Lepisosteus oculatus: one gene and its partners. The protein of the gene in region 1 interacts with the protein of each later gene in a pairwise test. Links are inferred from orthologs where the notes say so. Each region holds a gene or a part of one and is shown in the gene's direction. Other genes may lie near its edges. The genes, in order: ssx2ipa, morn4 and shfl.

Evidence for each region.
Region 2: the proteins of ssx2ipa (region 1) and morn4 interact in binary tests that used the Homo sapiens proteins (3 or more experiments, as listed by UniProt). The two-hybrid records come from large-scale screens. The link is inferred for Lepisosteus oculatus from reciprocal best matches to the Homo sapiens genes SSX2IP and MORN4.
Region 3: the proteins of ssx2ipa (region 1) and shfl interact in binary tests that used the Homo sapiens proteins (3 or more experiments, as listed by UniProt). The two-hybrid records come from large-scale screens. The link is inferred for Lepisosteus oculatus from reciprocal best matches to the Homo sapiens genes SSX2IP and SHFL.

Annotation. Positions count from the first base shown.
Region 1 is NC_090704.1:172,603-183,138, reverse strand, and holds the start of ssx2ipa (synovial sarcoma, X breakpoint 2 interacting protein a), read left to right. Parts: upstream 1-6,428; 5' UTR 6,429-6,626; intron 6,627-9,373; 5' UTR 9,374-9,451; coding exon 9,452-9,491; intron 9,492-9,993; coding exon 9,994-10,160; intron 10,161-10,499; coding exon 10,500-10,536. UniProt on the Homo sapiens protein: Belongs to an adhesion system, which plays a role in the organization of homotypic, interneuronal and heterotypic cell-cell adherens junctions (AJs).
Region 2 is NC_090699.1:44,155,913-44,166,721, reverse strand, and holds the start of morn4 (MORN repeat-containing protein 4), read left to right. Parts: upstream 1-5,517; 5' UTR 5,518-5,626; intron 5,627-5,854; exon of another isoform or gene 5,855-6,340; intron 6,341-7,254; 5' UTR 7,255-7,266; coding exon 7,267-7,333; intron 7,334-10,809. Other genes in the region: lcor (streptococcal hemagglutinin), read right to left, coding at 1,429-1,525. UniProt on the Homo sapiens protein: Plays a role in promoting axonal degeneration following neuronal injury by toxic insult or trauma.
Region 3 is NC_090706.1:14,468,221-14,479,336, reverse strand, and holds the start of shfl (shiftless antiviral inhibitor of ribosomal frameshifting protein homolog), read left to right. Parts: upstream 1-6,619; 5' UTR 6,620-6,820; coding exon 6,821-6,853; intron 6,854-7,240; exon of another isoform or gene 7,241-7,345; intron 7,346-7,388; exon of another isoform or gene 7,389-8,388; intron 8,389-8,467; coding exon 8,468-8,603; intron 8,604-9,380; coding exon 9,381-9,430; intron 9,431-9,758; coding exon 9,759-9,842; intron 9,843-10,887; coding exon 10,888-10,932; intron 10,933-11,116. Other genes in the region: retinol dehydrogenase 8, read right to left, coding at 645-860, 1,148-1,331, 1,539-1,632, 2,258-2,437, 2,877-3,038, 3,191-3,287.

The DNA of each region.
Region 1 (10,536 bases):
GATAGTTGTTGTTTCTGTGTTTTTTGAAGACACACAAATAACTACTGTATCATGAAGCAATATTTTTCTATGGAACAAGTAATAGGTTGATTCCATGCTGAAAAGAGAAGAAAGAAAACACTTTCTGGAACCTTCTTCAGGTGTAATATTGTGTTTTCTTTCTTCTCTTTTCAGCATGGAATCAACCTATTACTTGTTCCTTAGCTGCCTACGCATGCTGATGCAGCTACCCACCTAAAATATTTTTCTATGTTTTGCTAAACAATGCCATACTGTAGATTTATTGTAACGGACAAAAGGTAGGATGTAGTTATGTATTTACTCATAACATATCCTAATTCATGGTAATTTACAAACTATACAAAAACACAAAGTACAAGCAAAAAAGAAAAAGTAAAATTACAAATGACAAGAGACAACACATTCAGGTCGGCTAATTTTAGAAGTACAATGCATGTTTAGTGCAGAGAACAGTGAAAACAATGTCAATTGGGCACCAAACAATATACAGTATACCTGTAGGTAGGGAGTACAGTACTGAGTAGAGTGCAATATCAGTTGTGCAAAAAGTTGATGGCTGTGATGACATTTTCCATTTAACAGATAAGCTCTGAAGAGATATCCAGATGTACAATCAAGACTGAGCAGTTCTGATTGTAATGGATACTCCATTCTAAGACAGCAGCTCTGGAGCGAGAGAAGCTGATTCTGTAGTTAGTTTTTCAACACTAGCCTTGATATAATACTGTATACTACCTAATCCCGGCTGCATCAAGATCTACCATATCATCCTGGTGTGTATTTAAACTAAACTCAATTTTTAGTTCAATCATGGACTCTAGGTGGTAACTGCTGCCCTCTAAGTCAGACTTTGAAGATACAACCTAGAATGACAGCTTGAGTTTCCTGGAACATTAAATATAATCTATTCTTTGAATAGTATTTTTAATAAAGAAATCCATTGTTGCATATCTACTTTACATGAAAGCTTACTAGAAACTGCTCTATCCACAAAAACAAGGCCCTTCCAAAGAAGATATTCCAGATCCCATCTTAAAAAATAATGGGAAATGTTTTATATAGTTAAATCACTCTCAATGTTTTTAGCAAATGTAGTAGACATACTAGAGAAGACTGTGAAAAAGAAATTTACATCCTTGATGTTCACATTTGAACGAAAACAATAAAATGTGTTTGTTGTTTTTTCCTTTTTTTGTTCTGGATCTTTCTTTCTAATGTGTTTACAAAAACATATAAAAAATCTGAAAGTTCAAACTTCAAGACCCTAGGGGTCTTAGGGGATTCAAGACCCTAACCAGACCTGTGCTGTCTATACTTTCCAAGATAATTTAAAATTATAAAAAGGCACTTCCTTTCCAGGTGGACATTCCATTCGGGGGGAGGGTTTAGCCCAAGGAAGATTATAGGTACTTTAAGTCACAGAGGTCTGGAAAAAGAGAAACAGAACAGTATTTTTTACTTTTTACATACGAATGAATTAGCTTTGAAATGAACCCAATTGCTGTCCTAAATTTAAGCCACAAACTATTTGTAAAGATTAATCAAACAGGTTCTTTCCAATGATTTTTATGTTTGAAGAGTGCTGAATATTTTAACTAGTAAAGACATTTTACCATGGGAACAAACCTGCACCAGCTCCTCAGTGTCTTCCATGGTGACTTTAGCTGTGCTGTGCATATATTGCATTAAAGGATAACTGAGTGCTTGTATATGAGCATCAAAATATTTTACTTCTAACTGGAATAAATGATAAAATTATCAAGAAAATGACAAATAGTTATACTAGTTACTCTGACATTTTAATTAACAGAAAGGAAGTAAATTAATTGGTAATTGACTTTTGTTATTAACAGGGTTGATCAACAGTGAGTCTATTATGACAGACACATACTAGATGTATGTGTCACCACAGCTGGAAGGCAAACAAACTTTCTGTCTGTGACACATTCATCGCACCACTTCACAGGTGCTGTCTTGTTGGATTCTATCTTATTTCTCTTCTACAGGAGCCTTGTAGAACACAAAGTGTTCACTAGTCGTGAGGCCTAGAAGCCACATGTCATCTCAGTTCATCTCACAAACATCTGCAGGGCCTGAGTCTGGAGAACAGGGCATCAATGGCATCAATGTTACTTTCAAGTCACAAGAAATCCAGTTATGTGAGCAGCATGAGGACAAATGTTGTCCTGCTCATATATTGTCACTTTGGAATGATCCCATAGGAGGGGATGGAAGTGAAGTCCAAGGACTTGAACAATGTAGAGCATGGGTTGGCAAACTTTTTAGAGCAAGGGCCACTAAACATTTTTACTAACCTTGTTGGGCCATCTGAGTGATACTTGATAACTAGCTCGGGTAGCCGCCACATTTTCTTCTAATTTTCTCTTGAGCAATTTTTGCTTGCCTTAAAGCGACTTCTTCAACTGTTCTAATTTTTCCCTCCATTTACCTCCTGTGTATTCTGAAAACGTAGCCTGATGTTTTGTCTCTTAATGCTTTTTTATGTTGTATTCTTTAATCACGGCGATTGTTTCCTGACAGATAAGACATATTACCTTTTCTTTCCAAGGGACACACAAGTACTCTTCTGACAATTTTTCGTTGAACTTTCGACCATCTGCATTGATCTTTCTTTTTTTCAACATGGCAGGAATAACTTACAGTTAGCCTCTTGTCAGTTATAACTTTTAGAACTATTTAAAATAATTACCTGCTTTCAAACAAGATAACATACACTAGACGTCATTTGCGTGACTAAGCCAATCACAGTAGGCAACAAAAATCCAAATGTATTCACGATAAGAGTCAGTTGTAGCACAGGCTTACAGTACGTAACCTAGGCTAAAGCTGACGTCTGATAGGCTAAAAGTAAAATGCATTGTGCAATAGGTGTTGTTTTACAATTGACCATTAGTGCTGAGAGAGCAGCAGAGCTTACAAGTAGAGGCCACTGGCGAAAGATTTTCAATATCTGATGCAAAAAGTAACCTTTGAGATTCAAACAGTAGTGAGCTGCGGGCCACTCAGAAAAGTTAAGCGGGCCGGATTTGGCCCGTGGGCCATAGTTTGCTGACCCCTGATGTAGAGCCATGCAGTCAGGTTTCCACCAATCTCTACATGTAGAGTTCTGTAGTGACCCATCTTTTTTACCCAGACTATTGAAATCAGGCCTCTCTATTGACTGGTCTGTTGTACAAAACAATTACCAAGGATCATTCATCATATCCCCCTTATACACGCCTGTTTCCACCAGGGAGTAAAAAAAACGCGCTATGATATCTTGCAATTGCGATATTGTATCTCAGAATTACGAGTTTATATCTCACAATTGTGACTTAAAATCTCAGAATTACGACTTTATTTCTTGGAATTATGACTTGATATCTCACAATTGCAACTTGAAATGTCAGAATTATGACTTCATATCTCGCAATTGCATCTTTTTTTATGTCAGAATTTTGACTTTTTATCTCGCATTTGTGACTTTGAATAACCCACATTTCATTGTCTGTCCTTTTGTTATTGTAACGGATTCGGGTTCTAGGGCTTGTGCCCTCACCGCTTCTGCCTCACAGCACGGGCTCGAACCCAGGTCTTGCCAGCTGAGCTAAAGAAGACTTTCTTAAGCCCTGGCGGCCAGCATCCCTGTTATGCTCAGGGGAGGGCGGTGCCATCACCGCAGTGCAACCATATCGTACAACCTGTATGTCAGCCATTCCATTACACTATATTCATAAATCATACAGGATCATAGGATCTATAAATCTGAAGACTTGTCTTGTCAAGTGCCCTGACAAAAATCAAATTAATTACAGTAGTTTTGATGGAATCCCATTTCCGGCAGGGAGGCTTCCATAGTACCCAGATGGAATAGTGGACAGTCGGCTTTTTCTTAAGTCAGTGTTTTTATTTAAACACCATAAATACAAAAAAGGAGACAGAATATGAAAAAGAGTACAAAAATAGACACTTCACATCCAGAGGAATTCATAGTTATAAAAGCTGAAAATTATACTTTTTACATATTTCCATTGTAAGTCTTGCCTTTTGATTCTTTAAATTTCTAATAGAATTTAAGTAAAAAAGGAATTCCACTTTAAAAGTATTAATAAATGGAGCAGTATTAGAACATTTACTTTTGTGGATGAAGTATTTTTCCTAAATAATTAACAGATTAATTATAAAAACATTTATCCAAATCAGATCTAACAAAATATAAAACATCAAAATCTTTAAATTTAACATTTACCTTAAATGTTTAACAATAACATTTTGCAAATCTATCCAAAACAATTTTGTATATATGCAATTGATAAAATCCTTCTCATTATAACAAAATACACATCTTGTTTAAATCTAGAAAACGTCAATTTAAAAGGATAAAATCTATGAACCATCTTAAATGAAATTTCTTTAACTTTATTTGTAAGATGGTATCTTTCTTGGCTAGGGCTCTCTCCCCACGCACTGGGCCTCACACCGCTCCACTCCGTCCCTCTCTGACACCAATGTAACGACCTCGGGTTTCGGTACGGAATGGAGCAGGCATGGAACTCAGGGAATGGGGTTGAACCGGGGAAAGGTACACACACACACACGAAGGGAAGAGACTATCTTCCAGCCTCCGCCCTACTATATGCAGTTCTGTAGTCCCTGGCAAGTGTTGTCTATGTTACGAATGGTATAAATATATTCTTGTTTCGACCGTCACGGACCCTGCCCATTTCGTCCCGCAACACCTGGGGCGCGAACCCAGGCAACAGGGAACCAGCCGCTTGAGCTAAAGGAGACCTCCCCCAGCCCAGGCAGCTGAGGTCCCTGCTATGCGCAGGGAGGGCGGTGACGTCACCGTATCCGAACTAGCTCCGCTACAAAACGAGGCACAAGTTTTTCTTTCTTGATTTTCACTACACAGTACAGTACATGACATTCAAAAGGTGAAACTACCTTATGTCTCGTGCCCAAACAACTCTCGACAATGATTGACTCACATTTATTCTAATAGCAGACTACTTTAATGACATTGCTATTGTTGAGAGTCATCTATAAATTGTCTTTCTCTTTTTAGTAATTTTAAACCATGATTGTATGAAAAGAAACCTGCCTCTTATATAACACTAAAGCGTTTGAAAGCAAGTAGCTGGGTGTTCTGATCAGTTCATATATTCAATTCAGTTCAATTATTTTTGCTACTAGTAAGTATATGAATATGTTCATGTTGGCAGCTGCGTCAGCATGCGTTGTGCAAAGTAACAACAGGTTTATTCCCTGCTGAAAAGAGAAGCGAGAAAACATGTTTTGGCTGTGAACCCTTCTTCAGGTGAATATGACAGTTTATTTTGTTTCCAGTGATTTTTCCCACAATTAAAAAATTAATGTGGATTCTTTCAATATTACAATATAGTACTTAATGTTAATGTTAATGTTGCTTTATTAGCCCTATACATTTCTTGCATTAGGAATTCGTCTTTTCGCATACCCCAGCTTGCTCTCCATGAGACACAGACAGGGAGAGAAGCTGGGGGTCAGAGCGCAGGGTCAGCCATTGTACAGCGCCCCTGGAGCAGTTGGGGTTAAGGGCCTTGCTCAGGGGCCCAACGGAGTAGGATTCCTCTGCCGGCTGTGAAATTTGAACCGGCAACCTTCCAGTCACAAGCACAGATCCTTAGCCACAGTACTTAGTAATATTTTATCCTACCTTGAGTCCTAAAAAAAGACTTTGATTATCAAATTTCTTGTACTGCAATCAATAAAATATCGACAGCATTGTTATATGATAAAAAAACTGTTGTAAATAATAGCTTTTATAGCATGAATTGCCAAACTAAATGTGTATAAAATGCAAATTTAAGGGGTTAACATTTGAAGGTAATTTTTTTTGTTTTGTTTAAAGAGTAATTTATTGATGCTGATAATATTTCTTTGTGGTATTGTAGTATAAAATGCTGCAGAAAATGTAGCCGCCCATGTTTTGAAGTTATATAATAAAAGCGATTTCTCCTCAGGTACCGGAAGACGCGAGAATACAACTGGTTTTAGAGACGACGCATACAGTACATTGACGTAAATCATGGAAACAGAAAAAAAAAGTTTGCTCTGGGATCTAGTGTTAGTACCTAGTAAACTAAAACTGAGCAGAGTGCGTAAACGCAACCAAAACCCATGCATAACCTTCGATTGCCGTATAATGAAGAAATAAATATGAGAAAATGAAAAGCTGACTTCCAATAACCATCAAACAACGAACTGCATGGGTTTGCAAGGCTGGTCTGTTTTGCACCTGCTGATGCCTGTATGTCACGCCCACCGGTTTCTCAGGGACTGTAATTAAAGCCCAGGTGTCAGCCAATACTGTGAGCAGGTACTGGTTGCCTGGCAACAGGTTCGCCAATGACCGTAACGTTTGTTGGTGAGCCAGAGAGTCGGAAGCTTCAAACCTGCGCCTGTTGAGAGAGTGGGGGAGGTTGGTAGTATCAGCTGTTGGTGATCAAGAGATTAAAATATCCTACTTGGATGCTGGGGACTTGTCTGAAGTGGATTTATAGGTTTACTGTGTTCTGGAGAACGCCGGTGTCTTAGGAGAGGAGTTCATCTGGTGTTATGTAGTGAGTGTCTTTTCAGACCCCGTTTCTCTTCTGCAGCCCAATACGCAACTGAGCCTATAAGATAGCTGTGTGTTTATAATAATTTTGTAGTCAAGTGTTAAGGAGCATAATTCAATTGCTTAGGTTTTACTGCCTTCCGTGTTACGTATTTGATTTCGCTTCCTCAATGCATTTTATTTATGATTCCTTGGAATAAAAAATTTCTGAACTAGTTTATTTGTATGACTGGGACGTTAACGTGTTAAAAAAGCTAGGCTTTAGCTAATCCTCTGAATCAACAGAAAATCGACCAGCTCCGTACGGTCAGCATTTTTGTTTTCCAGTCCTGGTCAAGCCGTGGCAGTCCAGCGGCCCTGTGTCTTGACCGCTTTGACTTGTGAATTGTGGTCTAACCGGTTTCATGAACTGAAATTATGATAATTGTCAACTTTTAGAAATGTCTAACTACTATCACATTTAATCTTTTTATACATTTCTCTTTGTTTACGTTATACCCGAGCATGCTTTTTGTTTCTCGGTTTACACTGATTCTCACTTAATTTGAGCACATTTCTCAATCAGTTTTTGTTTTATGCGACTATATTGATGACTCCCATTGGTTTGTATTGCTGTATTTGGGAATATTTTTACTGGTGTCGTGACTAGACACTTTAATCATGTGAATCATGTAGTGCCGCTTTACTAAATGGTAGAAACCTTTTTTTCTTGCTATTGATAATTCTAAAAATATTTACATATTTTGTGTACTTTTTTTTCAGAAGGCTTCACAAGCTACCAGGGGCTTGGCAAGTCTGTTATTAACTCCCTGTTGTGATGGTACCATTTTTAATATTGGCATGTTGCCTGCTGCCGGTGAAACGGTAGAACATGTCCTTTGTTATGTATATGAAGTTTCTATCCACTGTGCTCACTCTGGTTCTGGTTTCTGAATTGTTCTTGACCCTTTCATATCAACTTGTGATAATGCATGAGAAGTACTTTTTTGCCCAACTACAGTTTGGGATGCATGACTTTTATATATTTGTCAGTAAATACTTTGTATAAATAATCGAGCTGTATGTTTTGCTTTTTATTACAGCTATAGGTGGTAGGATGCTAGATGGTGCCATCTTACACTTTATTTTGGAAAATAAAATGAACTAGACATCCACCCACCAGCTCACTTGCCTACCGCTGTATTGTTAGTAGGATAGAATCTATTTTAATTACATGCTAAGCGTAAAATACACTGTTCTAGTTATGGTGCATGTAGGAAAGCTGAAGTGGGGCACAGCAAATTGTTACTGGAAATTCTGGTAAGAGGAGGGACAAAAATCGAAAAGGAACTGTGCCTTTCACATTTCCCTACTTGAAAGGGTTTGAATAGAGTTAATTTTGTTGCCGTGTGCTGGGGGAAATATTGGTCCACTCTAAAAGTGATTTTGTCCTTTCTTTTGCTTTCATAAGAATCTTTGAATCATTGTGAAAGAAACAAATGGAGATCATTTGGTTAGAATTCAGATTTGTGTTCTGATTTTTATTACTAAAAACATTTTTACATCATTTTCAATTAAAATTGATAAATGTGGTAATGTATTCTTTGCAGTAAAAAGGCTATAAAGTAATGATGCAGGGTTAAGATTTTTATGATGACTTCTTTACTTTTCATAATATTCTCATTACAAACTAAAGTAGATGGGAGAGCCACGAATCTATGGTTGCGTCATGTCCAGTTGTAATGTTATCTACGATGTGTAACATGGTAAAACAACTTGCATTTTACAATGCTTCTCTCAGTTGTTTTGTTTTATTAGAGCAAGTGCCTCAATCTCTGTAGTATTTGGCAAATAAAAATATTACACTACTTGCAGAAGTGTGATCTAACTAGACATGTATTAGCTGCACAATGCTTATGAAGTAATTTTAAATTGCCAATGGCATTTAAAAAAAAATTGCAGAATTATTAAAAATTTGAATTATTTTTACTTCTAGCTTCAAGCTACATTTAACAATTTAAGAATATGTAGAAGAATTTTAATTCTGCCTCTTCTTGTAAATCAGTCATATATCACATTTTGTGTGCTGTCTTGCTAACGTACTGACAAAACAGGTTTGTGTTGACATTTTCTAGGTCATATTGCAATGTAAGGGATCCAGTTGGAGCAGGGCAAAGTGTTTTTTGCAAATGCTAGGCCATCTGTGCAGTGGATTAGTAGATAACGACGTAGGCACCCTAATATGATTTCCACTTGTAATGATGACCTCCTTGCTGTTTGAAAGCTTGATTACTCTGTGGTATACTCTTTGCTTTTGTGGATCTGGATAGTGTAGAGCTGGGATTCTGTGCAGGCATGGATGTGTTTTTAAATTGAAACCATGCGTAATGTGTTTGAAATTATAGGGCGGATGAAGTAGTTCAGCTTGTTTTGCAGAAAAAAAAACTTAATGGGCTTCTGTTAACGACAATTTCGACTTGCATGTAAATATTGATATAAATGGCAGACTTGACAGACATTTTATAATATTGCATAACCTTTTTGAGAATGTAATTCGCTTAATTTACATCACTAATTGTGATGTATTGGCTTAATATTTCATATACAGCAGCTGAGAATTTGATCTGTACGTGGCTTTTTGTTTAAGCTCTTAATGCTTGTACACAAAAACAGTGAAGTCATCTCCTTCAAAGCAGTGGTACTAGGCTGTTTTAATCCCCTATGTTTTAGATAGCTATACGTGATCTAACAGGCTCTATTTTTCTGTTTCAGGACTGTGATGTGTTGGAGCTGCCACTTGCCCTGTCTGCTGCACTGGATCAGCCTCAGGTGTTTTGGCCTTTAGTTGCTATGGGAGATTGGAGGACAGTAATGCCTGAGTCTTCACTGGGTAATTACTGCCATTCATAACAATTTGTATCTCCTTGAGCTGACAAACTGATTAGTTTATGTATAACCACTGGCATTATGTTCTTCTTTTTGGTGCTAACACCTGTATAAAAATGTACAATTAGCCTTTTTTTAAAATACTTGATAAAATGTATTATATAAATTTAATATAGGGGTTGGAAATTCATATAAGAAACTCATAACCTGTGATACACAAACAGAATGTTAAATGTAGTGTCAATATCAGTAGCAAGTGGTTGTTTCTTTTTAAAAAATCACAAGTAATTTTCTACATTAAACTGTTAACTGCTTATATCCATGGTGAATTTCATTATGAACAATACAGTTTAAAGTTAACAGTAGAAACCAGTATGAAAGGTTCAGAATTCAACATGACACAGAAAGCTCTTGCAATAAAAGAATACAGGGTTGCTCTGAGTGTAATTGTATAATTGAATAGACTAGGATGCCGGTGGTAATTTGTCATTGATTCTTTTCTCCAGGGAGCGCAGATGCATCTTTGTCTTCCTCTAGACCTGCAATGTCTCCCCTGGGGCTTGATATTCCCTCCTCGATACAGTGCTCTCTTCTGTCTAAGCACTCGTATAACATTTTAGGTGCTTTTTGTACAGAGGACAATGTTGCCCAGTGCATTTCATATGTTAATCAGGTAATTTATATTGTGCCTTAAATGAAAAAAATCTTCTGAACATCATTATGCTGACTTTGACAAATCACATACATGAGGGCTTAAAATGGCCTTACTAGAAATAATTAGAACGAGGTTTTAGTAGAACAAAATGCATTAGGCTACTAACTCATAGGTTACAAAAACAATGCCTTTGTCATTGTCAAATCTATTATGACAGATGTTTTTGACAGAGTGATAAAGACATACATTTACTGTACAATTGCGAGCTTGCATAAGTTGGTAAGATGGAGTTAGTTAGCACTACTGTTGCTCACCAGTCATGTGAATTTAAAATAACCATTGCTGCTCTCTTCATAGGAGCTTTCTTCACTTGGCTTTGCTGCTCTGTGCAGTG
Region 2 (10,809 bases), on another chromosome or scaffold:
CAAAATTCAAAGGAGTACAAAATGTCAATTAAAACCGCTTAAGAACAGAGCTTCTACTGTCTCATCTCGCAAGCAAATTGAAGTGCGTAACTGCAAAATCTGTTTAAAATCTCTCTTATAAACGCAATATTTTCGGCCGCTTAAAAAAAGTTGTCAAACGAACATTTAAGAATTTGTTTTACCACGTATTCTGTCAAACAAAACCCATGTCACGTCTAACGCCTCAGAACAAATACCGGCAAGTGAAAACAAGGCACCGATTTAACTAAGCAGGGAATATCGACTGTACCTACAGAGATAGGTTAGCAGGGAAAATGATTAATGCAGTTTGGACGAAGCGAGCCCTTTGGGATAAGAGATCACCGTGAAGTGAATCCTGATCTCCCAGTAACACCAAATATACCGATTTAAATGGATTAGCATCAAGAAACATTCGAAATGGGGGAGGGTAGCCCGGAGAAGGGCGACATTTCAAATGTGAACATTTGGAAGACAACCGAAATTTGACGTCTGTAAAATTACAGCACTGAACTAAAATATGCATTGCAAAAAAGCTTGTGGAATACTCCACAGATGTAACACATAAAGCCCCTGTGCATCAGAAAATAAGCAAAGGACTTCCAAAGAAATTAAGCAAAATGTTTAAAGAAGATAAAAATAAATATGCTGTATTACATTTAGAATATATATATATAATTGTAACTACTGACCAAGACATTTTCAGCAAGCTACTGCACGTGTCGCGCGAACTTAAAACGTCTAGTGCGCCTGACCTTTAAATATAATTTAACCGACATCTTCCCCGGCTTGCCAAAATATAAAATACAGCAAATTTTTCTGAGCGATTCCCCCCATTGCAGCAATGCGCGCCCCCGGGGCCGACTCGAGGGCAGCCAGGGAGCGCGCGGCACCGACCTCAGCAGCAGAACCCGGGGCTGCCGGGAGCGCGCGCCTCCCCCTCCCCCCACAGAAGAAAACAAGAAAAAACGCAGAGGAGCACGCGCCCGGGAGCCCCGATCTCATTGGCTTAAAGGAAGCAGCGCCGTTCACGTGATACACCCTCCGTAAAATAAACAGGAAAACAAAGCCTGATATATCTTTGTTACCTAGCAATAAAGAGATAGATAATATAACCAGGGAGCAAACGAATTCTGCCTACAGGACGCCCCGTACCGTACGGACACTTCCACTATATAGGCAGTATAACGCATTTCACAGCCAGAATCTGGCGACCGGAACGGAGGGAGGCAGGCTCTCTTGACGGAAGAGCTGCACTAGACAAAAAAAAAAGCCGCTCCGTGCTGCTCCCGACGGTTAGAAACAGAATTTTTTTGCGTTGGGACTACGAGAGAAACAAAGTATATTTTTCCAAACCCCGGAGTCCCGGGCGCCGCGTCCGGTCCTGCATGCAATGTGAAACGAGCTTACCTACACAGTGAATAAGTTTATGCCGCCACGAGTCAAGTTCCTGCCGAAAGCCGCGTCTCTCGAGCGTGCATTGCTGCCTCTTACACAGACTCGCCATTTTCTACCGGCCCCACCCGCCGCCGCGCACGTTTTGCTGGGTGCGTCCCAGCGTGCACGTCATCGCCACGGCCCTTTTTTGTGTGTGTGCTGTGTCTAGGGGTGGAGTTTTCTGCTGCGGCATCTTCTACTCGCCTCCGCCGCCCCCCAAAAAATAAAAGCTTAATATTCTTGATGGATGAAAAGTGACGCGTGATTAAAACTGGAAGGCAGCCCATATTCCCGGCCTTGCACGCGTGCGCGTAATTTAATTAAGGGGATCCCTGTCCCGTCGGAGGAGATTCTGGGACACTGTCAAGGGCAATTACAATGTAGCGGTGCGAGTGTTACTTGAATTTGATGAGACCGCATTGTGGTCATTTTTAATAGATTAATTCCTCAAGCCCGAATTTGGCTTTTAGGAAACTCATGTTATATTTTTATGGCTCTCCATAAATTACTACAATCGTAACTTTAATAAAGTACTACTGTACGAATTTCATTCAACCCATTGCCGCTTACTAAACAGCGCATTTTCAATATAACGGAGCGCTTTAAATCAAAACCCTCTACACTCTATAAACTGTATTAGATGGGAGTTAAAGTGAAAAACTTTCATATATAAGGAATCCTTATATATGAACATCGGATAAAACGGCAGTGCAAAAAGATTAAGTATCCTGATTAATGAAAATGCACCATGGGTACTAAACTTGGCGACGTAAAATCTACACACATATAGAATTGAACTATATTAACATTAACAAAAACTGTGGGTTGAAGACAGTTTCCATGATGTCTTGCTAGAGGTTTATTGGAGGAAAAGGTTCATACACTAAACTGCCTATCAAAATTAATTCATTACTTATTTCTATTTGTTTTTAGACAAACTTAATGTTTTTGCACCATTTTGATTAATAGATCACTCGATCTTGATATGCTAGAGTGACATCTACTGTTGCATGAGCACTGAATCACCTCATTAGTGGGCATTGAACAGGCATAAAGGTGGCTTAACTTGTTGAATGTCAAGTCCAGTGAAACTCAAGAACAGAGATGTCAAAAGGAACTAATATTCTGAATTTAAGAGATTAATGCCTTCATGCCATCAGTATGCTAGAGACTGGACTAAGTCACCTGAGGTGGACTTGACAGGGGTGATACATGTGTAGAACAATGCGCAACCTTTTATTGTCAATGGGCTGATGGTTTGGTTCAAGTGTGATGGTCTGGGTTGGAAACTCCTTTCCCTACAGATCTCCACTTGTAGCAATGGAATGCAACCTGTTCACAGGGAACTTCATGACCTCACTGCCTTCTCTCATGCAGCTGATGTGACAAAGTCCAGCACGATAATATTCTCTTTGTCAAACAACAGCTTCCTTGCAAGACGAGCCACAACAAGGATACCCTAGTCGTTAGACTTGGGACTTATTGAGCAGCTGTGGGATGAGCTGACATGAGGCATCTAGGACTCAGAGATCAGTGAACAGACACCTGCTTGTCCAGACTGTAGGAGAGGAAAGGGACAGAGTCCTATAAGACAGCATCTGTAACCTAGTGTGTCATATGTGCTTTAGATATACACCCTGTATTGCTTCCAGCAGTGTGCACACATGCTACCAGCCTGTGACTTTCACAGTAAACCCATTGATGACAAATATGAATCTTCCACTGCAATGTCTGTTTTAAAACATGTCAGTACAGTTGTTAAAAAAGATTTCCCTGATAATGTAAGATTTGCTTCTTACTATGCCCTTTGCAATATCTACACCTCATTTTGATCCCTGTGCAGCAGTACAGTTGTGCTTCTTGGATCTCAGTTTATTTTGAGATCACCCTTGCTATTATAAGCAAAAACAGCCTGTGAAAAAAACTTTTGATGTTTGTAAACCAAGACCACAGAAAGAACAGGCGATGGACTTTAGAGCATTGAACAACACACATTTATCTCCCTTTCAACCTAACTCAATCTAGTGGTCTAAATGCATATATTTTACTAAAAAACACTATTCGGCTTTGTAATACTTTGTAAGTATTACAAAGGCCACACACTCACAGCCCACTCAGTATTGATGGAACGGAAGTGGAAACAGTCACCAGCTTTAGGTTTTTGGGAATTCACATCTCTAAAGATCTAACCTGGACTGTGAACACTGACTCTATCATGAAGAAGGCTCAGCAGCGCCTTTATTTCTTGAGGCGCCTCAAGCGATGGGGGATGCCAATACATGTGTTGGTGAACTTCTACCGCTGCACTATCGAGAGCGTCCTCACCAACGGGATCACCGTGTGGTATGGCAACACCTCTTCGCGAGAAAGAAAGGCACTGCAGAGAATGGTCAATATGGCCCAGAAGATCATCGGCTGCGGTCTCACCGAGATTAAACAGCTCTATGAGGACCGCTGCCGTGGTAGAATTCTGGCCATCACAGAGGACAGTCACCACCCTGGGCATGAGCTCTTCACCCCACTGCCCTCAGGCAAGAGATATAAGAGCATACGGACACTTACCACTAGATTCTTCAATAGCTTCTATCCACAAGCAGTGAGACTGGCGAACACATTTAGCCATCCCCCTCGGACCACACCCATCACCATCTACCTCATTGTAATTTATTTATTGTACGTCTCCAGTCATTGTTTACACGTCTGTATTGTTTACATTCAAACTGCCTGCATGTTTACTTGCACATTGTCTATTGTTTGTTTGTACATTGTCTTGATGCACTGTTTGCACTTGTTTTGTTTTTTTACACTTGTTTTACAATCGAGAGACTTTCTGTAAGTAAGAATTCCATTGTACCAGTACCGGTTACATATGGCAATAAAGTTCAAGTTCAAGTTCAAGTTTAAGTAAGACCCATTCAGCACATTAAGTCATGAAGTAAATGATAAGTGAAATGTACAAGGAAATTCAGTATATCTATTTGGTGTTTCATTTTAAATTTATATTAAAATAAAAATCAGACAGCATGTGCAGGAGTGGTTAGGGATCCAGGCTCATAACTGCAAGGTTCTGATTTCAGATTCCAGGTAGGGCACTGCATTTGCATTGAAAATCTCTTCCAGGCACAGGTAACTCCCAGCTATCTAATACAGTACAGTATGTCACTCTTTGCTATGCATCCAAGTAGCGCGTTTGCCTTTGACCGCTTCTGTGCTTTGCCTACTGTAAATACCAAAGCTACAATTCTGCAATCTTCTCCTTGCGGATTTACTACGTCTGTGCGACCCACAGTATAATTCTCCCATACTTTACCGTTTGCTTTACTTTATGGCTGTATGCAACCCTTCACACGTCCATATATCATTCGAAGATCTGAAGTAGTTCAAGTGATAAAAGCTTGGGTGCTACCGCGGTTGTAATGTAGGTGCATCTTGATGAGATAGAAGACATTTATTGTATTCACTCCTGCGGAAGCAGAGAGGCGGTGAGTCCTGACCTTTGTGGAGCAGCTAGATTACAAACTAACTACATCTGTAAGGCAGAAGAAATCGGGGTATGCAGAAATCGAAAGTACTCATTTCGTCACTAAAAAAAAGACATCTGTAGATGAAAATACATCCGACTCTGTGCTAAATTCATACAGCATACTGAATGAATTTAGTTAATTTAATATATATATATACCTGAAACGTTTTCAGAGAACCTTGCAAAACTGCCATACGCCAACTGAATGTTTAGCGGTTGCTTAACCTGAATGAAAATAAAGAAATATCTAATCACTAGATAGATATATAAAGTTTCACAACGTAATTAAAAACGAATCCCATAATTAATGCCTCTGCGCAAAAGCCACGACCAAACATATCCCTATTAATTAAATCCACAGGCACGGCTGTGTGATGCCCCTAACAAAAATGTCAGCTATCAGACCTCAGAAGGAAACAATCCAGCCAATCAGGATTCGCTTTAAATGCAAAGTAACGCAAAACGGACAATGGGACAGTGAGACTTTAGGAAGAGCGTGAAGCCTCGCCGCTAGAGGGGGCGGGGTCAGGAGAGCCTAATTTTCGTCACAGGGTGTACTGTATAGCAGTTATATTGCACCATTGCCTGAATTGTAAATATAAAATTGGTGGATTTATGTGCTTCTGAAGTCCCAAGATCATAAAACAGGTAAATAATTTGTTTATCTTATCACGCAGTAACGACGGTCAGTTGGATCATCTTGCAGCTGTGTGTTTAAATTTGCTGAAGTAGTTTATTAGTACTGTTACTGTAAGTGATATGCCGGCGACACGTAGGGAAATGACTTTGTTGCGTTACTGTGGTAACATTTCAAGGGATATACAACAAAAACGTGCACTGAATGCCAGGAGTAACCATTTCGTATACGGAGGTTATTAAGTCTGGAGCTGTCAGTATCTTTTAACCAACAATAATAGCACTATAGACGAAAGAACAGCTATTCACCTGCTTAAATAATTTATTCCATTATGCCTACATTGCTTCGGCTTTACATCACTCGATTTCTCTATTCATTTGACTGAGCTGTGCTTCTCATGCAAAATGGGGTGCAGTATAATTTGCGCTCGATTTAATGGTGAAATCAACATGAACAGTCCCGAGTCACGGTTTAAAGTTGAAATAAGAAGGCATCGCATCCTTCATGACCGAGACTAGTTTATTCTTATTGCTCTTATTTTAATCTGTAACGTTCCTTAACAAGAACGCAATTGCAGCAGCGCAGCTCCGCTACCCACAGAAGCGCTCTGGGAGTTGTTTCACAGACCTGATCTTTGACCGCTTGGAAGACTTCAGAGACAAAGCAGCCGTCAGGAAGCAGCATCAGAGTCATCGGAGGAAAACCTGTTCCTATGTTCTTCTCTGGTCTGTAACAGCAAAAGATTAATGGTACCCAATACAGTACCAGCGTGAAAATATGTTTGTTTTCCTCTCACACAGAGTTTGTTTTAAGGCACTGATGTGTATATGGATGAGACAGTGGTACCGGTTTGTGACAGACATTAAGGTACTGACAATTGTGATTCTCTGAGGCTGGTACTGTATGTTTAATCTTCTGGCCCCTCAGGGAGTTAAAATTATTCCTTCCTAGAGTTCTCCCTGCATGGTCCTTAGTACTTTTGTCACCATCTTAGTGAAACTGTACTGGTTTCAAACAGTGCCACAATGACTCCCACTTCTCCCTCCTCAAGCAGCACAAATGTAGCGCAGACATGGTGTGGTGGTGGAGCAGTTTCATAGAGCTGTTGCCACCAGTGCTTTGAGTTCCTGTGTCCATTCTCTCAGGGGGCAGCCTTTTTAGACAGCAGCGTGGACTTGTGATTAGGGCTCCGGACTCCAGACTGGAGTGCTGCAGGTTTTGAACCCAAACAGGACACTGGTGTTATTCACTTGAATGAGGTGAATTGATCACATTGCTCGTGCAAGAGCCCCACTGCGTAAATGGATCACCGGCTCCTTATTATAGACGAGAGCGTCTCTTTTTTTTTACTTCTTTGGTTGAATAAAGGATTAAGGACTATCTCTTTTGATTTCTGCATGTGCAATTCCTAATATGCGTGTTAAAGAAAAAAACAAATGTGCAAAGTGATCTTTATTTTTAACATTCGTGCCCCCCCCTCCCCCACTAATGCCAGTGGCAGGACCTGTGAAAATATGATGTGTGGCCACTCAGAATTGAGAGCTCTGCTTCTAGTCTTTGAGGGGGTGAGCTGTTCTTTCTCTGGTCGTCGTGTCTCTGAGACTCAACCTCTTCTGCTGGCTGCTGTGTGCCCCCACAGGCAGTCTGCGACATGACCCTGACCAGAGGATCCTTCACCTACTCCAGCGGAGAGGAATATCACGGCGAGTGGAAAGAAGGCAGGTGGCTTTAAATGTTTTAGAAAGGCGGTCTAGGATGGGTGATGTCTTCGTCCTCCGTTTGAGGACAGAGGCTCCCGGGTCTGAACTGCAATTACTTCGCTTGGCCCATCCCTATGCTTTATCCATTCAGCCATTTTCGAACTGCTAAATCCAATCCAGGGTTTAGCCTGACCCCGCAAGACAGGCAGAGGACATCCTGCACCGCATGACAAATCGGCACAAGGCAGACACAGACACACACGCACACCAAGGTCAATTTCCACCCACCATTATGTCTTTGAACCACGGGAGGTAACCCATGGGGGAAAAAAAAACTCAAGAAGAACATGCAAACTCCACACAGATAGCAACATTATTAGAATTAGAAACCGGGGCTCTTGTGCTGGACTCTCTGTCATTCACACAGAGAAGAATAATTGGGTTCATTTGTGGTTGGCATGAAACCGAGCGTGGTCAAAACTGCTTAAAGAACATGTTCCTGAAGTTGAACGTAACTGCAGATCTTAGAGATTGCTAAGTAAAATGTGCTTTTTTTCTGTCAGATGGAAAACATTGCCCAAAAGCTTAAATAACGTACCCTAACAGAGCCTTCAAAGATAACAGCCTCTTGTTGGAAGCAGATACTTACATAACTCACAGTTTAAATCAGTCCTTACAATCATCTTTCTTCTAGCTTCAGTCAAGCTCCATCAGTCACTGTGCCTTCTCACCAGTCAAGGGTAATCTGCCCTTTATTCATAACAGAATAGGAACAGGCGCTCTGAGGCAGCCTTTACTTGTGTGTTTGTAAAAGCATCGTGTTTCCATTAGAACAAAGCTGGGGAGAAGTAAGTGCTTCATGTCATGAGTTTCTTTGTAACAGACAACACCTAACAAAGAGCACGTGCTCTTAAATGTTAGAAAATGCAGGCGACATGGAATTTGAATTTCCTGGCTGTCCAATGCAGCGTATGTTCTGATCTTTCCCAGATTTGTGCATGCTGCAGTGTTAGCTGTGGGTAGCAACTTAGTATTGTCTGTACTTAGTGTTCTTGCTTTCAAGGACAGGGACTGACAACAAAAGCTCCTTGAAATAAGCTAAATCCTAATTAGCTGGTAAACCTTGACGTCACACAACATGACTAACCTGATGTCACTGTGCAAGGGTTTCTGCAGGGACTGGAAAGGTTTCCAGAATCACTTCAGTCAGATTCTTCTGTGTAAAATGGTGTTATGACAGAAGATATAACTAATAAAAATAAAGTTACTTCTAAGAACACTTAATATTCACAAAATAATTTGATCTGGTTAAAATGTAGTAGATATAAGCTGCATTTTAACATTGGCCTCGGGATTAGTTCTTTAATATGAAATGCCCTTTTGATATTATTACATACTTGTTGTTTCTGGTGTTTATATTTTTAGTAGTATTAGGGATACATAGTTTGCTGTCAGTGTATGCATGTTGGAATCTATAGAGAGCAGCTAAGGACTTTAAGAAATCAGCCAGTTTCAAGATTTCAAGATTTCTTTATTTGCCATATACAAGTGTATTGGAATGCTTACTCATTCAGCTGTACCCAGTAACATTAGAGAAAGGGAAAAAAAATCACAAATGACGAACAGACATGGACAATAAATTCAGACAATAGACATTAAAATACAGCCAAGACAGGACATAGTGCAAAAAGTGCAGTACCTCACCTTGCTGGGATCAGGAAGATTGCCGCAAAGCTGAGCTGGTGTCCTGGATTGTATTGAAAACAGGCCCTTACATTCCTGACATTCCTTTCAGGAGCTGATTTTTGAGCTAAACAAAATCCCTTCTAAAGAGGTTTCAGATCAGGGAAAGGGTTACAATCCTAAATACTAACAGATGGTAAACCTAATTTAGCTAGGAGAGAATTTTTTTTTTACCATCAAGCCCCTCTCGCACAATGCTGTGTACAGGGATGTCTCTGTGTCAGCTTATCCTGTCAATCCATGTTACCTCTTACCTGAACACATACCTTTCAATCCACCATTGCTGGGATTCCCAGTCCTGGCCTCCGGGTTTTCGATCCAGCTGAGCTCCTTCCTTCATTGAACTAACGGGGGACTAGATTTGGAGCCCTGTAAATGTTTTTCTTTTTTCCCGTAGAGTTAGAGATGTTTAGTTCTGTACAAAAAGCAATAGGTACTGTAAATGGTAACCTCCAACATGTTTAAGAGTTGAGTTAAGAGAAGAGCTCATATTAATCCTATTTTTAGACCAGTTATGTTCAGTTATGTAACAGCAGGACTGGGTGCCCCCCCACCGTTAGAAAACTTGGTGAAAATGATGAGATTTGATTTGAGCAGGTGATTTTTTTTCCTGTTCATGACATTTGTAAGCGTTATAGAAAGGAAATGGCATCACTATAATTGCTTCTGACAAATGTGTGGAATAGGCTATATGATTTAAATGGAAAATTTGAAAACTAAAAGAAAATAACTGGGATGTACTTCCAGAATGGAAATATACAGGTACAGTTGAATGTTTCCTATCACAGTGTTTTTCTTGCTAAGTGGCAACATTTCCAGGTGCTGAAATATGATCAAAATATGAAGTTCCATTTTCTATGGATGGATGAAGTGTCAACCACCTGTCAGGTGGAAAGAGTTATCTGACTCAATTAGTAGATCTGCCAATGCGTCTGTTTCCAGGGTGCCAAATGTGTCACCCATGCAGCACAACCACAACGCAAAACATGAGCAGTGACAGTGGCAGTAGAGTAAGACCACTGTGGTTGACACCACATCACACATGATCATCTCTGATGAGTCAGATCACTCACAACAGACCTTTTAGATCAGCTGGGCATGCTAGAATATGACATCATGTGGGATTCGCATGAAGGGGGCAGGATTGCAACATATCGGCAGGTGAATTGATCTTTGCATCTCTCAAGTTCAAGTGTATTACAAAGACGGTGTCATCAACCATCATATTGAGCTCTGTTCCACTGTGGGGGTAGATTGAGTTTTCCAAGTTGACAGCACAGTGCCCATCCTTACCATTACTGGCCATCTCCAGAGGAAGAATATACAGCTCACACTTGCCTTGACAAAACCCCAGGACCTGTAACCCACAAGAAATGCAAAGGGACAGACTCGTCCAACACTGCCAAATGGCCCCATAGTACCTTCAGGACTTGGTTGTTTTTCTAACACAAGGATCCCTGCTGAGCTCACTCAGGTGATCTGTGCCAGGTTTGTCTTGTTGCTAAGAAAGGACCACACCATTACTAGTGTCTTGAGTGGTATTACTCTTCACCCTCATGTGAGCACTTTCGACTTAGGATGGCTATTGATTGATCGTTTCCAGATGTTGCAAACCTGTGATAGTGTACCTGCAACATCTCTCTAAACTATTAGGAGCCCCAGTCAGATGAACAGGCTCTCACTGTGGCATAGGGTTGCTTTGAGGAGCACAAGACAGACTTTACCTTCCCAGGCCACTTCTCAATCCTACT
Region 3 (11,116 bases), on another chromosome or scaffold:
GGGACAGCAGAGGGGCGGTTTCATCAGGGGCCCGCTCACTACGCCACCCTCGGCTCACCCTCGGCGACGAGCTTCTAGTTGCGGAGACGGGTGCTCGGTGGTGAAGGCTGGGCCCTGCGGTTTGGCCAGATGGGTTCCAGTGACAGACTGAAGGAACTCCCTCTTTTAGGTGCGCGGCACGCTTTTCTGGACACCTGTTAGAATCCGGTGTTCCTCCAATGGCACAGATCAGCTCTGGAGGCGGGGGTGACCGGGGCCGCGGTGCCATCGCAGAACCGCGTAGCAAACTGGACAGGCGTGCTGAGAGGCCTGTTCCTCTCGCTAACGCTTCTCTTGTTCGACGTGATTGAACCACCATTCCGAAACATCGAGGCTGGCGAGGGCGCGGGAGGCGGTGCTTTAGGAACAGCCCAGCAGGACTGCGGCCTTTGAAGACCAGAGGGAAGGAGCCGTGGTGGGGGCCCGGCCCCGGCCCCGGCCCAGCCGACACAGGGCTCGCTCCGATTATCCCTGCGATTCCGGCTGGACGCTGCGGGACAGATCCGGGCCCGTGGTGAAGGAGGCGGGAGGGGGCGTGCCCGAGTGATGAGAGTGAGGCGACATGCCCGCGCCCCAACATCCCCCCCCCCACCCATCCCGCTGTCTCAACAGGCTTTCTTGGCGCCACGCCCGCGCAGGAGCCGGAGGAAGCCCAGGCTGGCGCTGAAGACGCGGTCGTGCTTGAAGACCATCTTGAAGAAGGCGTCCAGGGGCAGGCGCCCGCTGGGGTCGGCGTGCTTCAGCGTCGTCAGGGGGGTGTAGAGGCGGTTGGTCTGCAGCCGGAAGGGGGGGCTGTCGGCCGTGATCACCTGGAATGTTTGCTGCGATGGGAAAAAAATTGGAAAGCAAAAGCGGGGGTTATAGGCCGAGGAGACTGGAACCGCACTGGGCAGGCCAGTGACCCGCACGAGGAATATTTTTATTCCCAGAAGCCAATCAAGCGGTCAGTTAAAAGCCCCTAGATGGACAAGCACCACTCTCAGACTGCGGCACGATGGGGCAGGACTTGCCCAGCCTTCAGAGTGGGCCCATGTGTGCAAACCCGCCGCGCTGAAGGTATTTCCCTCTGTATGAGACCTAGGGGCAGCTCCTCAGCCGACTGCGCTACCTCTGCGATCTCCTCGGGGGTCTGCCCCAGCGCGGCGAAGATCTTCCGCGAGTACGGGAGGTAGACCTGCCGGAATATCCTGGCCGTCTCCTCGTCGGTGCCCGCCAGGTCCATGCCGTCCGCTTCCTCGTAGACCTTCTTCTCGAACTCCGTGATGACCGGCCCGGGCTCGATCAGGCTCATCCTGGGAAGGGGAGAGGGGGGGAAGAGGGAGGACCATTCGCTCACGCCAACTCCAAGCACAGGCGGTACCACCACCCCGGGCTGAGGAGCCTTATCCTTCTCGACCAGACGCCAGCAAACCTTAACTAGATTCCCGTGTGGGCGATCTGTGGAATGCTCTGGAATCCAGGAAAGCTCTGGGGTTGGAGAGCAGAGGCCCCGCACTCACCTGATGTTGAATTTGAGGGCCTGCACCGCCAGGCTCTCGCAGAAACCCTCCACCGCGAACTTGGAGGCGGAGTAAACGTCGTTGAAGAGAAGACCTGGGGCCCCCGGGGGAAGATGGGTTCGGATGAGAGGATAAGAAAGAGAGACGAGGAGAGAAAATTAGCTGTGCCCCTGGAGGGCTGCAGGAAGTCACAGGGCAGTTCCCAGACAGCTGATGTTGAATCTTCCGAAAAGGCCTCTTCTGAAGGAATACCAGTCACATGAAAATGGATCTTCCCCTTTTGTGCTCTGAATACTCTCATTCTCAAAGGCCTTTTATCGTCTGTGTATGGCCCTAGTGTTTCCCCAGGTTTCAAGGCAAGCACATCCATTTCATCACAGTATGCAAATGGGCCCACATGCCAGTCATACAATGCATAGCCTGGTGGGAAAAGCACCAAGGCAGCAGACCGGCTACACTGGTTACAGCCATAGTCAAGCTACAGGTCATGCCTGCCTGGGTTCTCCAGCATCAAGCTCTACAAGCTCATCAAGGTTAGCCCGAGGACCAACTTCCCTGTTGTGGAAATAATGGGCGCAGGCCACTGAGTGTTTCCCCACGAGTCCACTAGGGGGCGAATTCCTAATATTTTCACCCATGAGAAGGTAAATGTCAATTTCCTACCAATTATATGAAAGAAGCATGGACCCGCCCCCCCCTTTCCACCCCCAGCTGCCCACCCTGGATGCCCATGACGCTGCTCATCACCACGATGTGCCCGTCCTGACGCCTCTTCATGTCCGGCAGCACCTCCCTCACCAGGCGCGCCAGCCCGAAGAAGTTGGTGTCGAACAGCCGCTGCATGGCGCCGATGCTCTGGCACTCCAGCGGGCCGATCATGCCCACGCCCGCGTTGTTCACTGAGGAGAGACGCCAAGATGCCAGGGCGGCACGCACACGCACAGTAGGAGGAAATGATCGTATATCCTGTTTCAACACCACTCTGCAGGCCCGCGGGGCAAGAAGTGGTTCTACAAACTCATCACAGTGTGCCAGTCACTTCTGACTTTTTTCTCGGCTTTTTTATGTGAGAGACGCACCTCTGTGCTTCTGGAATGAAACGTACTGTAGGAAAACCGTCATTCCTGACAAGAGTTTAAACCAGTTAGGGGCTAGCGTTTACAGCTGCAGGGGACGGGGTTCCCAGAGCCCTGCTCCAGGCCAGCACACTGCTGCAGCTGTGGATCCTGAAGAATTACATTAAGACAAAGCAGATGGCATATTTCTTGCTTTTGAGCTCAACAACTTCTGCCTGGCACAAGGCCCACGTAAGGCTGTGCGCCTGTAAGTCTGTCTCACCCAGGATGTCCACCTGGCGGGAGGGGATGCTGTCCACACAGCTCCTGATGGAGTCCTCGCTGCAGGCGTCCAGCTCCTTGATCTCCAGGGTCCGGTTCAGGGCGCTCCCTGCCGCCTGCTCCAGCGGGCCTCTGCGGTCCAGATCCCTCATGGTGGCCACCACTGCCAGACGGGGGACTATGCATCAGCAAAGGCCTCCCTTACACAACTTTTACCCCCATAGCTTTTTTTTTACTGTGTGTTATTCCATGTGTAGGAATACAGCTTCTATACCGTCAGACAATAATGATCATGATACTTGAGGTGCCTCTGACCTTTGAACCTCTTCAGCTCATCCTTGGCCAGACGTACGGCCACAGCTAGCCCAATCCCCGAGGAGCAGCCTGTTACCAGCACGGTCTTGCATGCCATGGCGCCGCCCTGCTGGATGCCTATGCTACAACAGGTAAAAACACATGCCCTTTTTTTTTGTCATGATATAAATGGAAACCACGTGCTTATCAATGTTAAGTAGGCCAGGCCCCGTAAGAAAGGTATGACTTTTTTAGCACAGCACACATGATCTCGGTACAGTTCTTACTTCTAGACTCACTTGATCACTGCACATTTATCTCCAGCAACTCAACAACAATAGCTAATAAATACTGCCTATGCAGGAGTACTGTACCTCCAGCTGTAGGGAGACATTTATAATGCAATCAAGGATAATGCTAAAAATAAAGGCTGGTACAAAAAACCTTTGGTATGCAGATCACACTGATGAAAACTAACAAGCTAAAGTCCAAAACGCGTGCAGTGTGTGCAGTGCCTGTCACCGTCACATACTCACTGGGACTGCAACCCCTGTTCCTGCTTCCTCTGCAGGGTCTGGTCCGGGAAAGGAAGCTACCGGCTATCAGCGCCCCTCCTCATCCTCCAGAAAAGCAGGAGTCTCTTCCTGGAGAGCCCGGGACGGACAGCGTGCCCCCTGTGACCGGGTCACGGGGAATCGAACTGTCCAGGGAAACACAGGGCTCTATTGAGTTTCCTCCCTGTCACATGCGCACACACACACACGGACCAGTGGAGCAGCCTGATCTGGCACTAAGCCTTTAATCCTCTTTGTCCCGTCGCAGCATGGCGCGACGGAGATCCCTATGGTTACCCAGAAGGTCTTTAACCCTTTCAGGGAAGGCTGGCCTTACCGGCTCGTCTCCCGCCCTGAGGCCCGGCAACACAACTCTTAATTCCTTCCGTGAAAAGGAAGCGCTTTGTCTGCAGTGGCCTCACATTCATTAGTCACCCCCCCTTCTCCCCTTCCTGGAGGTGCCCATCGGCCCCATGAATTCTCAGCCTCCTACCAGTGGCAGCTCAGGGGAGCTGTGTGCAGGAGCTGCTGCAGTAAGAAGATGCAGAAATGGCTTTGCACACGCAGCACGCGTGTCAGGAATTCACTGTCATGGGTTTCTGTAGAGTCGCTATTGCAGAACTACCCAAGACCTGCGTTTCAGCTTCATAACACGGTTTCACCGACGTGTGTGCAGTACAGGTACCCTCTGCGAAGCAGTGTCTGTGCTCTCGTGTTGCTGCAGAGGCACACACAGAGTGGGGAGGGACACTGTGCAGCCCCAGCCCAGTGACTTAATGCCCAATCAGTCAATCAGTCCTGGAGCGACATCTTGTCACAGAGCACTGATTCCGATTTCTATCGCATTTGAAAATATACAGGTTGGCCCCCCCCTCCTCCAGGCTGCCGGCTTGTGGCACCTTGAGCCATCGGAAAGCAGGGGCAATCCCTGGATGTCAGGGGCTGGGATCCTGCTTCTCGGCCGACCTGGAGACCTCTGGCCCAGTGACGTGAGTCAGGGGGTCAGCTGCGTCAGCAGGGCACCCAGGAGAGTGTGAGGGAGCAGGGAAGGCCGAGCTGGCGCCCCCCGCGCTTCAGAGGGATCGCTGCCGCTCCGGGGAGGAGGCACGCTTGGCGCGGCGGGGGAAACGAAATTACCTGAAATCGCTCACCACCCGGAGCGCCGATCTCCTCAGCCGGGGTTCGACTGCCCCTACCTGGAAGACACCCGCAAAGTCGTCACTTAACAGTTCAGCTGCAGGGAACTGCAGACGCTGCTTGGTCAGGTGTGTGTGTGTGTCTGTGTGTGGCTTAAGGTACAGTTTGGGTGGGAAAGAGGGCAAAATACAATGAGCATCTTCTTTTCACCAACTTGCACACGACTCAGGCACACCAGCGTGTCTTTATCTGCGATTGGGAAAACACTGAAGACATTCTGGACTTGTTGCAGCATAATCACAAAGTATTCGATATTATTGAGTTTCCTCCTTGACGCAGGATCGTGAAACGCGTTATTAAATCTTTATTTCAACATCGTATTTCAAAAACTCTCACATCCCTCTGGAAGCAGTCCTTTTTCCCTCATCCCAATAAAGACGTTAAGTAGCAGTAAAGCTGGCGTCCATATTGATTGCTGAAGCAAATTAGAAGCCGCTAATAGGCGTCAACGAAAATAACAGTGAATAACAGTACTGCCCTTACAGCGTCTATCACACTGGCAGATCATTTAAAATACAGATCATTCTGTTAGCTGTACAAGATGCCTCGTTACAACCTGGAGTCCTGGCGTAAAATAACAAGAGTTAATCTAGGTAACGCTGTATTTTTGTATTGCGGTATTACAGATTGTTTCAACAGGGAATAAACTCTGGGACTGCTAAACTAAACGGTGGTACGCATTTACTGTAATACACACGCACAGTACCCATAATTCAGGTAAATTACCTAGGTTTTAACAAATTACACCTCCGTTTACAGAGATCTAAAACTGCAGGGGCTTAAACACAATTTCACCCACCCCCACTCAAAAAAGAGAGATGCTGCTGCACTGTAAGCGCCGTTGTAACTGAGCTCGCCACAGCCAGTTCGCGTAAAAGAAGAATTTTGCCAGAACAGCAAAGTCTTTACTTCCAACCTGCGTTCTGCAAGCTCACCAGAAACCGTCCATCGCTGATCGTTTATGCAAAAACTTTCCCCGTTTTGCGCTACAGAAGTTTACACGTCTGTACCCACATCGACAGCGCATCACCAGACTGGTCCTGGCTACTGTATGAACACATCAAGGCTGGCCGGAGGGTGGAGGGTGGAGAGGGGGGCTCCGAGCGAGGGCGGAGGAAACGCCGTGGGTCGCTCGGCGCGGTGCTTTCTGGGGATTGTAGTTTAATCGGTTGCGACTTCTCTCTTTTTTTACGGCTTTGTGCAGGTTTGCTTTCATTATTTCATTAATCGGGAGCTCGTTTTGTTAAAATAAAAATTCTGCGGTCCATAGTTTAGAATGACTACAAGTAAAAGTTCAAATATTGAACGTACTTTTGTAATTAAATTAGAACTCAGGGATCCGATATTTTATAAAAAAATCAGTTATAAATAAATGTCACAGTACAAATGCCAGGGTCAAGACATGAACCTGAGATGTTTACGTAGGATACAACTCCACGTTTTACCTACAGCCACGACTGGGCTTTTAAAAACTTTCTTTAAACAGAAAGACGGCGGTGTGCAGAGTCAGCATTGCGCTGTTTGCTGAGATGAAAGCACCAGAGTCGCATGGCCTCTGTAAACAGAAGAAAAAAAAAGTTAGACCCGAGCAGTCTTTGCTTTAGTCTTTACTTCGCTCGTACGAGGGAGGTATGTGGTTCGAGCTGACAGTTCATGCACGGTCCTGGCGAAATGGCGCCGCCTAGTGGCGGTAGCCGCGCTTGCGCCAGCGAGCAGTGTGAAACCGAAAGTAGGTGTGAAGGAGACGCTCGGGGCTGCAGGGCAGCGGCCGCTTCTGCAGGAGCAGGAACGCGAGCGAGTGCAAACGCAGGCCCAGCTGTTAATCGTAGCAACACCAGTCCGCAGCTGCTGCAGTGCGGCCGTGCGCGTCCGCCACACACAGTCGGCTTCAACCCGAGCCATGGCTCGCAGGCTTCAGGATGAGGTGGTGGAGGTAGGGCAGTTGGAACAATTATTTTTCCGCTTTGCTGTTCATGATTTCTTCTGCTGCATTGTGGTTTTTTTATTATTATTTCGTGGTTTGCGGACCAGTGCTTCTCGACGGCGCTTCCCGCGGTTACTTAAACCCACAGCGCAGTTCAACGGCTTATTCTGCGACTAAACTTCGGGTTTTGCCACAGCGCCACCCCTCCTGCTTGCTCGGGGGGAATCGGCGCCTGGCTGACTCCGGCAGCGTCGGCTTTCTAACCGGATACGATTGGTGTCTGTTAGGCACGTTTTTACGGAAAAAGGCTGGGAGGCCACGGTGTAACTTCACTTTGAACTCGTATAGTTCCCGTCCCCCGTTTTTTATTAAACGTAAAAAAAAACTTCTCCCCACCTGTCTCTATCTGGTGTAAGACCGTCAGTCTACCGATCTGTGCGACTGTCTGTTATTTCCAAACCTGTCTCTCGGTCCGTCTAGGTTTTAGAGGAGGCTGAAAAGCGGTGACACGCAAAGAAAAAAAACACTTGTCCGAACTTCATACCGAAGTGTCACATCGTTAAACCGCCCCTCTCAGTCCATCTCCAGAGGCGCACACGCACTGACCCCAGTTCGGGTCACCGCGCTTGTGGGCGCACGTCAGATACCCCGGGCGCCTGTCTGTTACGAGGACTGTATCCCTCGGGCTGAGCTGCACAGGGAATAGGCAGGCCGGACACCCCGGCAGGGCCCGGGTCTGTCGCCTGGCAACACCGGCACCCCTGGACGGCTGTAGTGTAGTCATGGCTACTGTAGGTCTCCCTGGGGGGTGGGGGTAAGGAAATGACCCTCCACCTTTTATTTTTTGCTTTTTTTTCTTTTGCTGTTGCAAGCGGTGTGGAGTGCACTGGGGGAGAGAGGCGAGAGGTGGCCGGTAGCTGAGACACGGTTGTCCGGGTTTTTCCTTTGCGTTTGCGTTTTCAAAGTGTGCTGGCAAAGGTGTCCTTATGAAGCCCTGCCCTGCCAAAATGGGAGGTGTTAGCCTGGGGGTCAGTGTCCCGGACGTCTGAGAAACAGGCACCGTCCCTGTGTGGTGTCCGCGCGGACACAGACTCCTGGCGCACAGCAGTTTGACCCATTTCAGGATTCACCAGCTCTGAGGGTATGATTGGATGTGGGGATGTTGATATTGGTAACTCCTCGTCTTTGTGCGCCGTTCCCCTCCAAGTAAGGCAGCTGTGGACATCCAGCAGGCAGGAGCTGGTAAAACCTGGACTGGACCAGGGCTGCCGTGACTCGGGTCCCCACAGGCTGAGCACCGCCTCCGTTAGGTACTTGTTAAGCTTGTCAGTGTGTGGATGGAAGGAGCGGAGTCTGTCTCTGCAGGAGTCACAGTCGGGTCCCGGGACAGAGCGCCACCGCCGCAGTGTCTGTAGAGCGAGCGACTCCACTGCAGGAAGAGGAGAGTTCATGAAGTAACAGTCCCAGCTTCCTCCTCTCTTTCCCTCGCTCCTCACTTATCTCACTCTGCCTCTCTCTCCTGCCTCCTCGCTCCTCCTCTCACCTCTCTCCTGTCTCCTCCTGTCTGCTCCTCTCTCTGACTCCCCGGAGTGACTCTGTGTGTTCCTCCTTGTCCACCTCAAGCTGGAGAAGAGTGTCCGGCGCCTGCGAGAGCAGTTCTACGGCAAGGTCTCTATCGAGGTTGCCACGGTGCTGATGCGTCGCTATGGTAACAACCACCAGCTGGTCGCCATGGATATCATCCTGATGAAGGACAGAGGTTAGGTGACAGTGTGGCTGAAGGAGGTGGCGGGGGGGGGGGGGGGGTTTACCTGTGACACATTGGGTTTTTCAACACAAGCAGCTCGCATTCCCTACACCAGGGGGCGCACAGCTCTGGTCTTGGAGGGTCACCGGTCCTTCTTGGCTTAGCTGGATGAGGTGAACGTCTCCCCCCAAGTGACCAGCAAGACCTCCAGGACCAGAATCCCACTCCACCTGCCCTACACGGTCGCCCCCAATCGTGACCCGCTGTAGCGAAGCTTGGTGACTCCGGCCCCTGCAGTGGTGCACATGATGAGTCCGCCCTGGGAGAGGCCCACATGCAGCAAAAAGATCTGAGACGCACAGGAAGACGGCGTGAAAATCCGAGAATGTGCCGTGCTGGTGACCTGTCGCCAGCAAGGGTGGTTGAGAAAGCCAGCGAATCGCCCGCCCTGAGACGGAAGGCACAGGGATTTGGTTTTGCAGTGGAATTGCACACTGTAAAGTCAGGCTTTTTAGTTCCTGGCCTTCCTTTCCCTCAAAACAAGAGTACTGGTCCCCCCTGGTGGCAGACAGGAGAGATGAGGTCACAGGGATTGTGGCGGGTCCGCACAGGCAGTCGCTGGAGCCGCTGGCGGTGCAGCTGGATCCAGGGGGCTGTGGCCTGGGAGCTGGCGTGGGCGTGGTGCTCCCGGCCCGCCGGGTCTGCTGGCCCCCTAGGTCTGGCCAGGGCCTCTGTGTGCGGTCAGCCGGGTGGACGGGCAGCTCATCATGGTCTCTCCCTTCTGCGCAGGGCTGGACGAAGAGGACATGATGTGCTTGAAGAGAGACGCGGTGGTCAGGGTAAAGCTCCTTCCCAGAGTGCACTGGGGCTGCCTGGAGGAAGGGAGGGGGGAGAGTAGAAGCATGGAGGGGCAGGACAGGGGTAGAGAGAGGGAGGAAAGGGGCAAGAGAGGACACGGAAAAAATAGAGAAGGAAGAAGGGGAATGCTGGTGTTCAGCAGAGCTGAAACGTGTGTGTGTGTGTGTGTGTGGGGGGGGTTACTGTTTCACTGTAGACGACCTCCTGCTCTGTGGGCCGGCGTCAGTCTGGCCCGAGGGCCGTGCCTGTGTCCGCTCTCACGTCCCTCTGTTTTCTACCCCCTGCCTGTGTGCGCCCGTCCCGTTTCAGAACGTTGTTCAGAAGCTCCAGGCAGAAGAGCAGTCCCAGGAGCTCGCCCCAGGCCCGGCCCCAGCCCCGCCCAGGGGCCCGCAGGTACGCTGGCGGCCCTGCAGGGTCACGCTGCGGTTGCACAATACGCGAGATGAACAAAGAGGCTTTATCTACTCGCTTTAGAGAAACAAAGCGGCTGTTGTTGGTCCTGTTCCAGTATCATGCAGTGGCACACAAGGGCAGGGACACTTCTGGTGTTGGTGGAGAGCAGGGACAGAAAAACATGAAGGGGTGTACCCTGGCTGCTTGAATCAGCTTCTTTTCATGGAGCGAGTATCTGGCTTCCCAGAACTTTATTTACAAGGGCAGTCAAGGGTAGAGCTGCAGACGTGTAACTGGTGGTCTGTGGGTTTGAGTCCCCATAGCAGCACCCTAGAGGGAGGTACTGTACCCCCTTTTGCTGCTGTCAACCCATTAGTATGAAAAGTAACCAGCGTGGCCGGAGGGGAACCCTGCGAGAGATTAGCATCCTCCAGGTCCATCCATCCTCTGGTCCAGGGGCCAGTCTCACTTAATGCTGCAGAAGCCGGGGTGACCTCTGACCTCTCTCTAGGCTGGAGCATGGTATTTTCTGCTATTTTACTGACCAGATACAGTCCTATCAGTCTAGATTTCAGTGAAACAACAGACGCACTGATCCATGACAAATGAGCTCTAGCACAAGGGATTCATGTCCTCAACCATCCTGGAAGCAGACTGAACATGTGGGAGAAAATCAGTGGGAATAAAATCTGAAGTGTAGAACAATCCTGCAGACTTTCGTAAATGCCATACCAGGGATGCAGTTACTGTTATGACACTTTTATTTAGTGTAATCTGGAAGGCGTTTCATGCAGTCTGGAGGCGTATCAATTGACATTATCTCTCAGCCTGAAACCAATGCATATTAAAGACCTGCGCAATACTCCACCTGTGAGGACCGTGCTCCTGGCATGAGTCTGATGTGGTGGAGATATACAGTATGTGGGCTAGTCCTGATGTTCCTGCAGCACAGCTGTGTTACATTACCGGAAAGGTGACGCTGTGCAGGATGTGGCAACAGGTCCTTGGCAATGGACCTCCGTGTGGTTAATCTGTTTCTCTCCAGCAGATCGCCCAGAAGAGAACTCCCGTCGACGATGGTGATATTAAGGTAAGGACTGGCTTTACTATTTTTGTAAGAGTTTAGGGACTGGGATACGAGTGCACGTTAATCACTCATTGGAACAGTATTAGCGCACACATCACTTATTGGAAGAGTATCAGTGCACACATTAACCTGTCATTGGAACAGTATTAGCACACACATTAATCACTCATTGGAACAGTATTAGCAC